4 linked regions of the Rattus norvegicus genome follow. The protein of the gene in region 1 interacts with the protein of each later gene in a pairwise test. Links are inferred from orthologs where the notes say so. Each region holds a gene or a part of one and is shown in the gene's direction. Other genes may lie near its edges.

Region 1 (4,174 bases):
TGCTTTAAAAAAACTATTTTATGTATATGAGTGTTTTACCTATGTAGAAGCACAACATGTATGCACAAGTGTCGCTGAAACCAGAAGAAGCCAGATCCCCTAGAGTTACAGATGGTTGTAAATGGCACTCTGCAGTCGGTTCCCCAACTATTTTAAAATCAGCATTTAATTACCCATTCATTCAAAATCCATTGTTCATTCAGCAATACAAATTATTTACCTAATATGTGTTAGGCACTGTGCTGGTGCTGGGCAAACAAAACAGCCCTATCTATCAATTTAAAGTTCAATCCCAGAATCCACACAGTGCAAGGAGATAATCACCAACATTGTCTTCAGACTTTCACATAAGTGTATGCAGGGACACAAACACACAAAAAACATATGTAAAAACAAAAAATGTACATATATACACATACATAAAGATATTTAGAATGTGATACTAATTACTGTGAACAGAGACATTTAAGTGATGTGTTACTCCTCCTTTGAAGTTCAGATCCTTAAAGACCTGACTCTATTCTTCAACAGAACTGGCAGTCTGTAGATGTTAGGTAGATCAGTGAGCACAGAACTGTCTTGATTTCGTTTGGGGATAAATCAAAAGATGCTCTTTAAAAATCCGTAAGAAAACTCGCACCTTCCCCCTAGTGGCCTAATCTATCATATATGGCATTTGGTTGTGGACAGCGAAAATCAAATATCAGAACAGAAACCTGGTCCTACAATGGCAACTAATGATCACAAAATGAGTAATACGACCACGAGACACCAAGGAGCCTTTAAGGATGGGCTCGCCAAGTACTCAAGATATTCAGGGGCCAGGACCACAAACGAACGAACACACACACACACACACACACACACACACACACACACACACACACACACGAGAGGGTTTGGGGAGTGGGAAGAGGGACAGGGGGAGAGGGAGAGAGAGAGAGAGAGAGAGAGAGAGAGAGAGAGAGAGAGAGAGAGAGAGAGAGAGAATGAATGGTTCTGTGGCTTTTTCTGCAACCTCTTTCAGTCGTGCTGCTTCCCAAACCTCTGGGCACTGTGATGAAATCTATGCGGGTCCGCCACACCATCCCTAGCTGGGGGCGATGTTCAGTGGAGTGGACCGAGAGTTGGCGGGAATCTGCAATCCACTGGGGGGGGAGGGGGGAAACACGGAAACACAGCGCTTGACATGGAACCACGCCCCCAACCCTCTCTGCGCACAGGCATTCCCGGGTTTCCCACCAATCCCATTTTATCTGCTTTCGCAGGCCCCGCCCACCCAGAGCTGGAGGGCGGGGAAGCGTTAAACGCTGATCCGTGGCTCTGGGATAGACTGCACTTCCTGCGTCGGCGCCGTGAAGACTCCGCAGCCTTCTTTGACGATCACCGAACCGTAGTTGAGGCCGTGTTCCTGTGTCCGCTGCTGTGTCTGGTTGTAACCTCGCCGGAGCTATGGTGTGTTGAGCCCCGAGTCCTCGGAGGGTTTGGGGCTGAGGTCAGCTGACCTGGTCGGGGATCGGCCTCTGTTCCCTGAGGCGCGGGGCGGTGGGAGAGGGAGCTTACCTCACGGACATGCTCCTGCAGTGATTCAGCATCTGCGGCCTGGCCGGCGGGAAGCGATCAGTAACCTAGGCGGCCTATCGCGCAGCTTCTCCACTTTGCATGGGGTCCAGGCGCTTCTTTCTCGGCCAGCCAGTCGTCCTTCCCTCCCAATTTACTTAAGTGGCCTATTCCAAGATGCTGTATGGTCCTTCGTGATCTGCATAGGAGAGAGACTATAGGGGTGAAAGGGTGCATCTGGCATCGTCAGTGCAGACCAGAGCCTGCAGTCAGGTCTTCAGACCAAGTTCATCTTCCTTGTGGGTGTATTTGGCTTTATCCGTCTCATTAGAGTGCCGTAGGGAAAGGCTCCATACAATCATTTTGTTTTGTTACCTAGAGATGAAAGAGAAAGTGATAGAATCAGGTTTACAACGTAGGGCCCTGGGCTGCTTCTGTCGAGTCTGCCATGCAAACTCTTGGTCTTTTTACCCTCATGAATATTATACTCCCAAGGGCCGACAAACTTGCTTTAGTAATGACATTATAGCTATAGTGGTTCTGCCACGGTAGCTATTTGTGGCCACCTTTTTACTGAGAATTCGTGTGTTTGTTCATCCAGTGGTAAAGTACAGGAAGAAAGCTCAAAGCTAAGCCAAACGTAACTTTAATCATACTATAAAGATAAAAAGGTATGTAAAAGACCGGGTGTTGTGGTGCTTGAGTTTAATCCCAGCACTCAGGAGGCAGAGACAGGTAGAATTCGTGAGTTTGAGGCTAGCCTAACTCACAGTGAGTTCCAGGACAGCCAGAGTGTAGAATCCGAGTCGGAAAGAGAGAGAAGGGGGAAAAATATATATAGTTGAGCATGATGGCAGACACCTGTGATCTGAGCACTTGGGAGGCTGAAGCAGGACTTCAGGATCATTCTCCCAGGTATATAGCAAATGAAGGCCAAACTGGGCTGCATGAGACTTTAGCTCTGCTGGAAAATTGTGCTGAGAATTTTCGGAAAAAAGAAGAAACCTTCAAGAGATAGACATTTAAGTCGACTTAAAGAAAAGCCCTTTGCCAAATTATTAGAGCCCTGTGTAAGAGAGTAGTATGAGCAAAGTGTGCATTCTTTAGCACTTGACTGCCCGAGGGAAGTGCTATGGAGAATGGCAGAATATGAAGGTAGGAAGACCCTAGTCCATTCATCCCGACAGCCTGTACATGATTAAGGTAGAATTGCATTGCAAACTGAGCACTCTAATAGTGTCTCAGGAAAGCTGCACTAGCAGAGAGGCTTCAACAATTGAAACACATGTCTTATTGTTAAAATTTGAAAATTGTAATGTTCTCATATTAATCTTTCTTCCACTTTCAGTTTCGCAACCAGTATGACAACGATGTCACTGTTTGGAGCCCTCAGGTAAAATGTTTTATGACCTATTAATGAAGTGACTTTTCATGGCTGGAGTAGGGTCAGAAACCTGTGAGATCATAAACTGGGCTTGGAGGTTCACATTGTAATCTTTTAATTGGTCAGGAGGCCAGAGCCATAGGATCATGGAGTTGGTGGGCAGTTTGAGCAACTTAGTGGAACCCTATTTTAAAAAAGGAAACAAAGCTTGTGAGCTTATGGGCTACAAGCTTAAAGTTAGAATTAAAATTAGTTTATTGGTTTCAAAAAGTGAAAAATATTATTTTGTCTTTAGGGCAGGATTCATCAAATCGAATATGCAATGGAAGCTGTAAAGCAAGGCTCAGCGACAGTCGGCCTGAAGTCGAAGACACATGCAGTGCTGGTCGCGCTGAAGGTGAGTGACATGATGACCCTATCTTCCTCCCTCAGGAGCCAGAGCTATCAAATGTAAATTTCACTGATAAATAATCAACCTCCAAACTAAAATGCTGTGTCTATTTAGAGAGCACAGTCAGAGCTTGCCGCTCACCAGAAGAAAATTCTCCACGTTGACAACCATATTGGTATCTCAATTGCGGGTCTAACTGCTGATGCCAGACTGTTATGGTATGTATGATTATGAAAAATTAAGCATCGCTTTTCGTTTTTAATAGACTATTTTATTAAAAAATACCTAGATAAGATATAGGAAGTCATCTCCCAGAATATTATACTTTTTAATTGTTTATTTGTGTGGGTGTTTTATCTTCATGTATGTATGTCTGCACTAGTGTGTGTCTGGTTTCTTCAGACCTTAGACTCCCCTGGTATTGGGGTAACAGAAGATTATGAGCTTCCATGTGGATACTGGAATTGAACCTGGGACCTCAGGAACCTCTGAGACAGTTAAGCTATCTCTCTAGCCCCCAGAATATTAAAATTTGTAATATTGTAAATACCTTAGTGGGCTTGGGTGTGTAACTAAGTATTTCTATTTCCTTTTTTTTTTTTTTTTTCGGAGCTGGGGACAGAACCCAGGACCCAGGGCCTTGCGCTTCCTAGGCAAGCGCTCTACCACTGAGCTAAATCCCCAACCCCATATTTCCTTTTTTTTTTTTTAAGATTTTATTTATTTTATGCATATGAATACAGCTTCACTGTCCTCAAACATACCAGAAGAGGGCATCGGTTCATTACAGGTGGTTGTGAGCCACCATGTGGTTGCTGGTTGAACTCAGGACCTCTGGA
Region 2 (3,517 bases), on another chromosome or scaffold:
TCTTTTCAGAGACCTGCCTGCACTCAAGCAAAGCCAGGGTTCTAGGCTGCAAGCAGAATTTCAGATTGAGTCAGTATGGTGCAGAATTGGAGTTTATTAGGAAGAACGTGTGACACAGATTTGAACTTGGGGTGTTAATAGAAAGAAAAGTGCTCAGGGAACGGATGCGACATGTCCGAGAGTATGAGCATGGGCCTCTCACAGGACATCCCCCTTGAATTCCTTAGCGGTAGCTCAATAGAAGATTTTAGAGGGTTTTGAACTTACACAGTTCAAGGTGTTTTAAAGGGAACACCCTTCCTCTGTCTCTTTTCTTCATTTTGATAAGGAAAGGAATGGGATGGCTGTAGGAACCTTGAGTAAGATTTCACCCTGATCAGGTAAAACCAGGGTCCAAAGGTTACACAAGGGTGTTAAGATGTGCCTTTCCGGGGTTGGGGACTTGGCTCAGTGGTAGAGCGCTTGCCTAGCAAGCGCAAGGCCCTGGGTTCGGTCCCCAGCTCCGAAAAAAAAGAAAAGAAAAAAAAAAAAAGATGTGCCTTTCCTGTAAATGTGGGGATTATTGTGAGATTCCTTAACAGTTGAAGGCTTACAGAAGACAGTCCCTAATTTCCCTGTCCTACTATCCTGCCTCATTACCTCACTTACTGCTTATTCTTAAGTGACTTAAAAATCTGCTGCTAAGGCATTCAAGGAGGATTCTCACTTGAGAAGCTCACACTTCTTCCGCTACAGCTTTAGAACTATTGTTAAAACAGAAATTTATGCTCATTATTCCTCTACTTAAATTGCTCCAGTGTCTCCTGTTCTTATTCTTAGGTTAAAGGCTCGAGTTAAAAACATAGCATGTAATATTTCACATGGTTCTGCCTCTTTCTCCACCCTTTAAGCCTTTGTTAACTGATCATCATGTAGGTCATGGCTTAAGAGTAGCTTCCAGCTGGGCACAGTGGTGCATGCCTTTAATCTTGGTACTGGAGAGGCGGGGGTAGGTGGATCTCTGAGTTTGATGCCAGTCTGGCCTACAGAGTTCCAGGACAGCTCAGACTTCACAGAGAAACCCTGTCTTAAGGCAAGGAACAAACAAACACCAAACCAAACCAAACCCAACCAAAACCAAAACCCAAAATAAAACAGAAACTTGTTCTGGGGAGAGTTGTCTTTGGTCCCATGTTCCTGTGTTTCCCATACCCTCCTTGCATTCCCCATTTAATGTCTCTGTTCGTTCCCCATGACCTCTGAGCTCATTGAACGCGTGGATCACAGTGAACCTGTTTCCTTGAATATCTGTACAATGGAGCACAGTGTAGGGCACCTTAGTTTTGCTTAATAACGTTTGGGTATGTGAATGGATGGATAGGTAGATGAATAAAAGAAAAATATTGGGAAGGCCAGGAAAAAATTATGACCAATTTTTCTGACTTAATATTAAGATTATTATTCATCAAATACTAGAAAAATAGCTCTTCACTGTGAAACCTTAAGATTGTCTTGTGCTGGGCATCTAGTTGTATCCCTTTAATCTTAGCACTAAGGTGGTACTAGAAAAGGACCACAAGCTCAAGGCCATCCTTAAGTACATAGGAAGGTGAAGGCCAGCCTAAAGTACAGCAGATTCTGTTAAAGCAAAAACAACAAGATAAAACAATACCAAAAATAAAATCCAAAACAGTTGTATGCGGTTAACCCCTCATTTATTTTTGCTGTCATGCAATCGATTCTAGAAACATCTATGGTTTCAGAAGTAGGCACAAGCTATTGGTTGTAGATATGTAGTATATGTATTTGCCCAATTGCTCATTGCCTTACAAATGGCTCAGTATAAAAGTTGCTGTTCTGATTTTACTCTACCCCATGCTTCCTCTCTCCACTGGAACCTCCGTAGTGTTTGCAAGATAATGTTTCCTTCCATTTTGCTATCTGTATGCACAAGGAACTTCATTAATTCTGATTCAGAAGGTCTGATACTGGACTAAAATCTGAATATTTTTGTAAAAGTTTCCCCACATAAGTCTAATTAACCATTGGATCATAAGAATTGCTGATGTACATAAAATGTATACTTAAAATTAGGAATAATGTACACGGTTATGGAAACAGAATTTAAGATCAGACAAACGTGGCTTCAATTAAAATTTGACTTTTACTATTGTGTGTGATCTTGGCAGCCTCCTTAGCTTTTAAATGTGCATGCTTCCTTGCTTACAAAATAGAAATAACTTCCACTGTATAACATTGTGGTAGAAGAAAATTAGATACTTTATGCAGATTCTTCATGTTCTTGCACAGAACCTTATATATACTAAGCATTCTATGAACTTTAGTATTATATTGTTTTTGTAAGTCACTCAGTTACTTGTTCAACACATATTTATTCACTATGTGTTCAACATTGTTTTAGGAACCATAGAAGAAGATATAGGAGGTAAAATAGGAACCTATTCCTGTGTCTCTTAAAGTTAGTTGGACAGCCTAAGACTGTAACCCAGTTAGCAGACTGTTTGCATAGCATACACAGAGCCTTAGGTTGAATCCCCAGCACCTCCTAAATGGGACATGGTGGCACATCTCCCTGACCCTCAGGAGACATAAGGAGGCGAAACAGGATTCCAAGGTAATCCTTGGCTGGGTAGCATGTTCAAGGCTAGCCTGGGATATGCAAAACCCTATCTCAAATAAATACATAAATAGGAAAGAGACATTTCGGTGGGAACATAGTTATCACAGTGTTATGCAATTAGAGAATAATGCAATGAAATATGAATATTTTAAAAGATCAAATAATGAATAGTATTAATGGGGAGACACTAACCCAACACGTTGGTTTCTTAGTTAGCACGGAAAAAGGAGACAGAAAGCAATCTGAAGCTGCTCTTCCCAAGCCAGCAGAGGTCTACTTTGATGCTGCCTGCCAGATGGAAAATGATGCAGAGGGGAAAAAATCCTGTATTTACTTCTCAAAATTAAGACAGGATGGCGGAGTGTGTTTGAGGGGCGAACATATGTGTGTAAATATGGTATAACTCTTAATTGGTTCCTTACGATTAAAATGGAAACCGTTTCCGTTGGAAAGGCAGAGATCTGGTATTTTCACTTACAAGTGATTTATTTTTACCTCGTTAAACCAGAAATCAAACACTAGATGAAGGTTGCAAGCTTATTTGGATGTATATTGATGTATTTTTTTTTTCTTTTCAGGGTCGCTATGGCAACTGCATCTTCGCAAGTTCTGATTCCAGACATCAATTTTAATGATGCCTTTGAAAACTTTGCTTTAGATTTTTCTAGAGAAAAGAAACTATTGGAGGGGCTAGACTATTTAACAGGTGTGGAAGAGCTGTGCTTTCCTCCCCCCATTGTATTTATTTATTTTCCTTCTGTACCCATTTGTCTAGAGTAAACTGAAAAGGAAAATATTTGCAATAATGAAAAAAATAACACTTTTCCAGTATGTGTAGTTTTTCAGACAAGATCAAGTGTGCTTCAGGTGGTACGGTTGTAGACCACATGTACCTTT
Region 3 (3,114 bases), on another chromosome or scaffold:
CTGGCCACGAGGGAGATCTGCCGGTTCAGCACCCTGATCGAGGAGCTGGAGGAGAAGAATGAGCGGCCAGCCAGGGGGCTCCTGACGGTGAGGCCTGGCCTACCCTCACCCCTAGGGTCTCTGGAATCATTACCTAGTCGGTACCTCCTTTACATACATGTCTCTGCATCCCGGACGGATATGGAACACGGAACAGGGGGTTGAACTCTAGGCTATGCTTCCCCAAGAGATGCCTGGTCACTGTGCTCTCTGGTCTTGGTCTTTCTTTCCTGCCATCCGTAGACACGAGGATATGGCGGTATAAAAAGGTGGAAGCTGCTCTTGAGAAGTATCGAGTGCTCGCTTCGGCAGCACATATACTAAAATTGGAACGATACAGAGAGAGAAGTATCGAGCAGCGTGCCGACAACTGCCAGGTGCTGCTCCCAAAGCAACATTGTAATAACTTGAACGTCCCCCTCTGCTGGCCAGAAAGTTCTTCCAAGACTGTCTTACTTCCTTGAACCTGAAGAGAAGAGTTATTGGGGTCCTGGAAGCAGGATTTAGGGAGATGTACTGGGTCCTGGGATATAAGACACCTTGGTGTAGGACTTGCTTACTTTTGCCTATAGCAAGAAGTAGGTCATATCACCAAGTCTGTCCATGAAGCAAAGGAGCCAGGTGCTGGTTTCTGGTCCTCATATCCAAGGATGGGAATACAGTACTTTGTATTTTATGGTCGAGACAAAAGTGGGAGAGAAAAAAACAGAACCTAATCTCTCTCTCTCTCTCTCTCTCTCTCTCTCTCTCTCTCTCTCTCCCTCCCTCCCTCCCTCCCCCTCTCCCCCTCTCTTCCCCCTTCCTCTCCCTCTTCTTCCCCCTCTCCCTCCCCCTCCCCCTTCCCCTATCCCCCTCTCTGTCCCTCTCCCTCTCCTTCTCCCTCCCTTTTCCCCTCCCTCCCTTCCTCCTTTCTTTTCCTCCTTCCTTCTTCCAGGATATCAGAAGCACTCTAATAAGGTTAGTGATAGTGTCTATTCCTTTTTTCCCCTGTAGACATCCATCCGTACACTACCCACCTAGTTATTGCCATGCAGATAAACCACACTCTCAATTTAATGTACAGCCGTGTATAAATCTACAAATGCTCAAATGTGTTCTCAGATACTGCCATAGATCTACCCACTTTTGCAGCAGTGGGGTCCGTCTGAGAGGATCCAAGTCTCTGTGTGGGAAGTCACTCCTCCAGGCCTTGTTAGAAGAAGATGGCCGTCTAGGGACCTCATTAAAAGAGAATAGTTCTGGGGCTGGAGAGATGGCTCAGTGGTTAAGAGCACTTGTTGCTCTTGCAAGGGGCCCAGGACTCAGTTCCCAGAACCCATACAATAGTTCATACCTAGTAGATCCTATACCCTCTTCTGTTCTCCATGAACACTGTATACATGTGATATACATACATGCTGGTAAAATACCCATACACATAAAATTAAATATTTTTTTAAAAGATTTATTTTTTAATTTAAGGTTGTTTTTTTTTTTCGGAGCTGGGGACTGAACCCAGGGCCTTGTGCTTGCTAGGCAAGCGCTCTACCACTGAGCCAAATCCCCAACCCCTTAAGTACGTTTTTAATTTTGCACTTTAAATTTTTGCTTAATTTAAAAAATTAAATATTTTTAAAAGATCTTTTAAAATTCCCAGACTCTGCCATTTCTGTGCCCCTAGATGTGAAACCAGAAAGGGCCGGAAACCTGAGGCTATATCCCCAGGACTGGGCCAAAGGATCCGGGACTTCCCCCAACAGGTCATGCCCCTGCGGCAGGAGATGAAGATATTTCTGGGTAAGGAGACCACAACCTGGGCTTAGGAACGGCCTCCTGCCTTCCCTGCCAAATGATTGTACTATGTGTTTTTTAGCACATCTCATTTCCTTCCGTACCTTGACTTTCTTATTTGCCAAGTCCGATAAAAATCTTAACTCTCGGGATTATGCGGCGGCGAAGAGACATAATAAAAGTGAGGACTTGGGAGTTGGGAATCAACCTATTAAACAAATCTGACCAGTTGACATGACGTAGTTGAGGAAATAATGGTTAACAACATCCATGACCCTACATCATCAAGGGTTCTCAGTAGCAGGTGTAATGCATTGTGTGTTTTAATGGTTACCTTTGTTAACTACAGCTGGTGGCAGTGATTGCCTCACCGTGGACGTTGATTCTTCCTTCTTCCTTTGCTTCCTGTCGCTGGTTTTTTTTTTTTTCACTCCTGAAAGTTGAACCCAGGGCTCCTGTATAGTAGTCAAATGCTCTACGATGGACTACGTGCCCTGGCTTTCCCTCTACTTTTTCTTTTTGTTGGAATGGCTGTCTAAACTGAGACACCCTTATAGGGACTGAGTCACACTCCCTTCCCAGAAGAGGGAGTCATCATGGCAGCCAGCCAAGAAAGTTCGAAATGTTGTGGCTTTCTGCTCCCTTCCAATGGTGAAATCGAGAACAATGTCACATATTTCTAAAGTTCACGCCCACAAAAAAAGTTCCCCTGGGAGGACATTTCTGGAGCCCTGCTTCCTCCAAGAACTCACAGTAGAGGAACTAGACGGTAGAGGAAGTTTTACTCTAATCAAAGGCTGACTATTGACTGTCCTAACCACTATTTCCAAGTGGAAGAAAAAAGGTGAACCTAATTATCTATTCCCTACGTATACGTGTATGAAAATAGAAGGCAGGACAGCCATAGTCCCTGTCTGCTCAGAGGTGGGGTAGCAGGTTTCTCCCTGAGTTCTAGGCCAGGGGCATCCGTAACCCCTTGTGAGACATCTGTGTCTCTGCAGCCCTGCCCCAGGGTGTCTGGATTTGAAATCGCAGTGATTGTTCTAAGAGGACCGGATGTAAGCAAACTTGTAAGTGCTGGTCTAGACAATTGCACCGCCATTCTTCTCTCTCTTCCTTCCCTCCCTGCCACTGGGTCTTCTGCGGTTTTGAGATCAATGAAATCTCATCTTGTCCTTATTTCCTCCTCACAGAAAAACTCTGCTTTGAGTTGGACTATGAGCCAGGTAAGCGACCCTGCATTAGGATGGGGAGAATGTTTTTTTTAAAGTCCTGAGAAAGAGAAACCACGTTTCTGGGTTCTGC
Region 4 (3,517 bases), on another chromosome or scaffold:
GAGGAAGCTGAAAAGAATGCTCCTGCCATCATCTTCATCGACGAGCTTGATGCCATTGCACCCAAAAGAGAGAAAGTAGGAACCTACCCAATGGGATGGTAAGGACTTGTGAGGTCCTGACCTAGCTTCTGACCAGACATACTACTGTCTTACAGACTCACGGGGAAGTGGAGCGTCGCATCGTGTCTCAGTTGTTGACCCTTATGGATGGCCTAAAGCAGAGAGCACATGTGATAGTTATGGCAGCAACCAATAGACCCAACAGCATTGACCCAGCCCTACGGCGATTTGGTAAAGACCTTAAATTTTTTTCCTACACCACCCTTTTTTTTTTTTTTTTTTTTTTTAATATATAAGACAAGAGTTTCTCTGTGTAGCCCTGGCTGTCCTGAAACTATGAATACCAGGCTGACCTCAAACTCAAGAGATTGACCTGCCTCTGCCTTCTGAGTGCTTGGGATTAAAGTTGTGCACCACCATCGTGCAAACCAGCCTGTCCTTACTTGTTGATATATTGTAGGGTATATTGTTGGTATGTCTGTTGGGCTTGATTTCCTTATCTCACCTATGTCTTTAAGTTACTTAATCCTCAGAATTTAAGTTCTTTGTCATGACAGGACCTAAGGTTTTTTTTTTTTTTTTCCATTCTGTGTTCTCTCTAGGGCACTCCCTCAACCTTTCTAGTGCTGCGACCCTTTAATATAGTTCCTCATGTTGTAGTGACCTTCAATCATAAAGTTGTTACTACTTCATGGCTGTAATTTTGCTACTGTTATGAATTGTAATGTAAAATATTTGTCATAGAGGGTATTTGATATGTGACACCCACTCCCACCCCCGTTAAGTGGTTGTTCTGTCCCAGAGGGGTCGAGATCCAGGTTGAGAGCCACTGCTCTAGAGTAACTATCTATTTTTTGCCTAAGTCTGAAAGATTTCCAGGTTGTGAGGCATTAATGCTAACTTTAAATAAGAGAGTTCTGGAGTGACTTCTGTGGACCAGAAACTTCCTATTTTACATTCCTTTATTGTCCCATAGGTCGCTTTGACAGAGAGGTAGATATTGGAATCCCTGATGCTACAGGACGTTTGGAAATTCTTCAGATCCATACCAAGAACATGAAACTGGCAGATGATGTGGACTTGGAACAGGTGGAGTGGTGATGATGGCTGGCCAGAATTTAGGATAACTCTGTTGTAGGAGGTTGCAGGGGACTACATGCATAGACTAAGAAAAGAGGCTTCATATCAGTAATCTAGAACGGGGGGGGGGGGGGAGGACGGACAGGAGGAGCCTGAGTTTGAGGCTTGTTAGGGCTACACAGCAAGGTCGTTGTATCTTTTCTTTTTTTCTAAAAAAAAAGCTGGATGGACTTTGTTTTTAACTTCAGAGCAGGAATGTGCTTCTTAGTTGTTGCTGTATGTATGAGTTGTTGGAGCAGTTTTATTTTCAGCTCCCCAATCCGGTGTGAATATTTAACACCTCTGCCTGTAAAAGGTCTGCTATAATATATCTCTTCAAGGAAACAGGAAGAATCAGAGATATGAAACATGGGATGGAGTCAGGATTCTGTTTCTGACTTGATAAGGTAGCTGGATCTTGAGGATGGTCAGTATATCTTCTCTTTGCAGGTAGCCAATGAGACTCATGGTCATGTGGGTGCTGACTTGGCAGCCCTGTGTTCAGAGGCTGCTCTACAGGCCATCCGGAAAAAAATGGACCTCATTGACCTAGAAGATGAGACCATTGACGCTGAGGTCATGAATTCCCTGGCAGTTACTATGGATGACTTCCGGGTAAGGACCATATTACACCCAAATTAGGAATATGTTTATGTATTTTGTTGTGAGGACCCCGCCCCCAAGTCTCATCTCCACTTTTTCAAACTCCCTTTTTAGTGGGCCTTAAGTCAAAGCAACCCATCAGCACTTCGGGAAACTGTGGTAGAAGTGCCACAAGTAACCTGGGAAGACATTGGAGGCCTGGAGGATGTCAAACGGGAGCTTCAGGAGTTGGTTCAGGTAGGCTAAGTTTTGCTCTAGTATGGTGGGTCATTCCCTCAGTATATAATAATCAACTTTTAGGTCTCAGACTGATTTACTAAGAATTGAGCGTATAACTCTGTTACAGAGTTTTAGATAATAATGAACTGCCCTAAGTTACTGCTGCTACAGTGAAGTACTATGACAAAAAGCAAGTTAGGGAGGAAAGAGTTCCACACTGCTGTTCATCAAACAGAGCAGGAGCTGATGCAGAGGCCATGGAGGGGTGCTATTTAAGGCCTTGCTTCCAAAGCCAGCTGTCTTATAGAACCCAGAACCATCAGCCCAGGGGTGGGACCACCCACGATGGGTGGGGCCTTCCCACATCAAAAACTAATGAAGAAAATGCCTTATAGCCAGATTTTATGTAAGAATTTTCTCAAGGTTCCCTTTTTTCAGATAACTCAAGTTAGGTGTCAGGTTGATATAAGACTAGGTAGCATGGAAGCCTATATACAAAAAACTTGGATGTTAGACGTTTGTATCATAAAGATGCTATGCTTCTGATATGATTTGATTTAAAATATGGGGTTGCCCTTAAATTATCTTTGCTTTTCTTCTAGTATCCTGTGGAGCATCCAGACAAATTCCTCAAATTTGGCATGACTCCTTCCAAAGGTGTTCTTTTCTATGGACCGCCTGGCTGTGGGAAAACCTTACTGGCCAAAGCCATTGCTAATGAATGCCAGGCTAACTTCATCTCCATCAAGGGTCCTGAGCTGCTTACCATGTGGTTTGGGGAATCTGAGGCCAATGTCAGGGAAATATTTGACAAGGTAAGCTAGATGGCTAGCTGATGTTCATATGTATGTATGGCAAGGGGCAAGGTGGAATGAGAGGTTATTTCTCCAGACGCAAAAAATTTTATTACTGGCAGCTCAGTTGGGGCATTACTGATTACTCTGTTTTCTTCCTGAAGTATGAGAAATCTAGTTATATTAGTATTTGAGATGGTCTTTTCTTTTTCATAGGCACGACAAGCTGCCCCCTGTGTACTCTTCTTTGATGAGTTAGATTCAATTGCCAAGGCTCGTGGTGGTAATATTGGAGATGGTGGTGGAGCTGCAGACCGAGTCATCAATCAGATCCTGACAGAAATGGATGGCATGTCCACAAAAAAGAATGTGTTTATCATTGGAGCTACCAACCGGCCTGACATCATTGATCCTGCTATCCTAAGACCTGGCCGTCTTGATCAGCTCATTTATATCCCACTTCCTGATGAGAAGTCCCGTGTTGCCATCCTAAAAGCCAATCTGCGAAAATCCCCAGTTGCCAAGGCAAGTGCAAAGTTGTCAGCCATAGGGACTTTTTCTGTTAAGCAGATGTGGAGTGGCAGAGGCAGAAGCCAGTCTGTTTAAAATAGAAAGTCCAGAGACCCTGTGCTCTGTGGGAGGAAGGCACAGTGCTAACAGCTAACATACTCTTGTGCTTCCTTTAGGATGTGGATTTGGAGTTCTTGGCTAAGATGACTAAT

The links. The genes of interacting proteins can lie anywhere in the genome.
Region 2: the proteins of Psma1 (region 1) and Mid2 interact in binary tests that used the Homo sapiens proteins (3 or more experiments, as listed by UniProt). The two-hybrid records come from large-scale screens. The link is inferred for Rattus norvegicus from reciprocal best matches to the Homo sapiens genes PSMA1 and MID2.
Region 3: the proteins of Psma1 (region 1) and Trim10 interact in binary tests that used the Homo sapiens proteins (3 or more experiments, as listed by UniProt). The two-hybrid records come from large-scale screens. The link is inferred for Rattus norvegicus from reciprocal best matches to the Homo sapiens genes PSMA1 and TRIM10.
Region 4: the proteins of Psma1 (region 1) and Vcp interact in binary tests that used the Homo sapiens proteins (3 or more experiments, as listed by UniProt). The two-hybrid records come from large-scale screens. The link is inferred for Rattus norvegicus from reciprocal best matches to the Homo sapiens genes PSMA1 and VCP.

Annotation. Positions count from the first base shown.
Region 1 is NC_086019.1:177,885,048-177,889,221, reverse strand, and holds the start of Psma1 (proteasome subunit alpha type-1), read left to right. Parts: upstream 1-1,364; 5' UTR 1,365-1,452; coding exon 1,453-1,455; exon of another isoform or gene 1,456-1,935; intron 1,936-2,908; coding exon 2,909-2,953; intron 2,954-3,239; coding exon 3,240-3,341; intron 3,342-3,449; coding exon 3,450-3,553; intron 3,554-4,174. UniProt on the Homo sapiens protein: Component of the 20S core proteasome complex involved in the proteolytic degradation of most intracellular proteins. This complex plays numerous essential roles within the cell by associating with different regulatory particles.
Region 2 is NC_086039.1:109,223,819-109,227,335, forward strand, and holds part of Mid2 (probable E3 ubiquitin-protein ligase MID2), read left to right. Parts: intron 1-3,198; coding exon 3,199-3,326; intron 3,327-3,517. UniProt on the Homo sapiens protein: E3 ubiquitin ligase that plays a role in microtubule stabilization. Mediates the 'Lys-48'-linked polyubiquitination of LRRK2 to drive its localization to microtubules and its proteasomal degradation in neurons.
Region 3 is NC_086038.1:1,697,357-1,700,470, reverse strand, and holds part of Trim10 (tripartite motif-containing protein 10), read left to right. Parts: coding exon 1-87; intron 88-973; coding exon 974-996; intron 997-1,675; coding exon of another isoform or gene 1,676-1,699; coding exon 1,700-1,815; intron 1,816-2,810; coding exon of another isoform or gene 2,811-2,836; exon of another isoform or gene 2,837-2,879; intron 2,880-3,002; coding exon 3,003-3,035; intron 3,036-3,114. UniProt on the Homo sapiens protein: E3 ligase that plays an essential role in the differentiation and survival of terminal erythroid cells. May directly bind to PTEN and promote its ubiquitination, resulting in its proteasomal degradation and activation of hypertrophic signaling.
Region 4 is NC_086023.1:62,008,372-62,011,888, reverse strand, and holds part of Vcp (transitional endoplasmic reticulum ATPase), read left to right. Parts: coding exon 1-75; intron 76-155; coding exon 156-291; intron 292-1,036; coding exon 1,037-1,149; intron 1,150-1,629; coding exon 1,630-1,794; intron 1,795-1,896; coding exon 1,897-2,019; intron 2,020-2,603; coding exon 2,604-2,816; intron 2,817-3,011; coding exon 3,012-3,320; intron 3,321-3,481; coding exon 3,482-3,517. UniProt on the Homo sapiens protein: Necessary for the fragmentation of Golgi stacks during mitosis and for their reassembly after mitosis. Involved in the formation of the transitional endoplasmic reticulum (tER).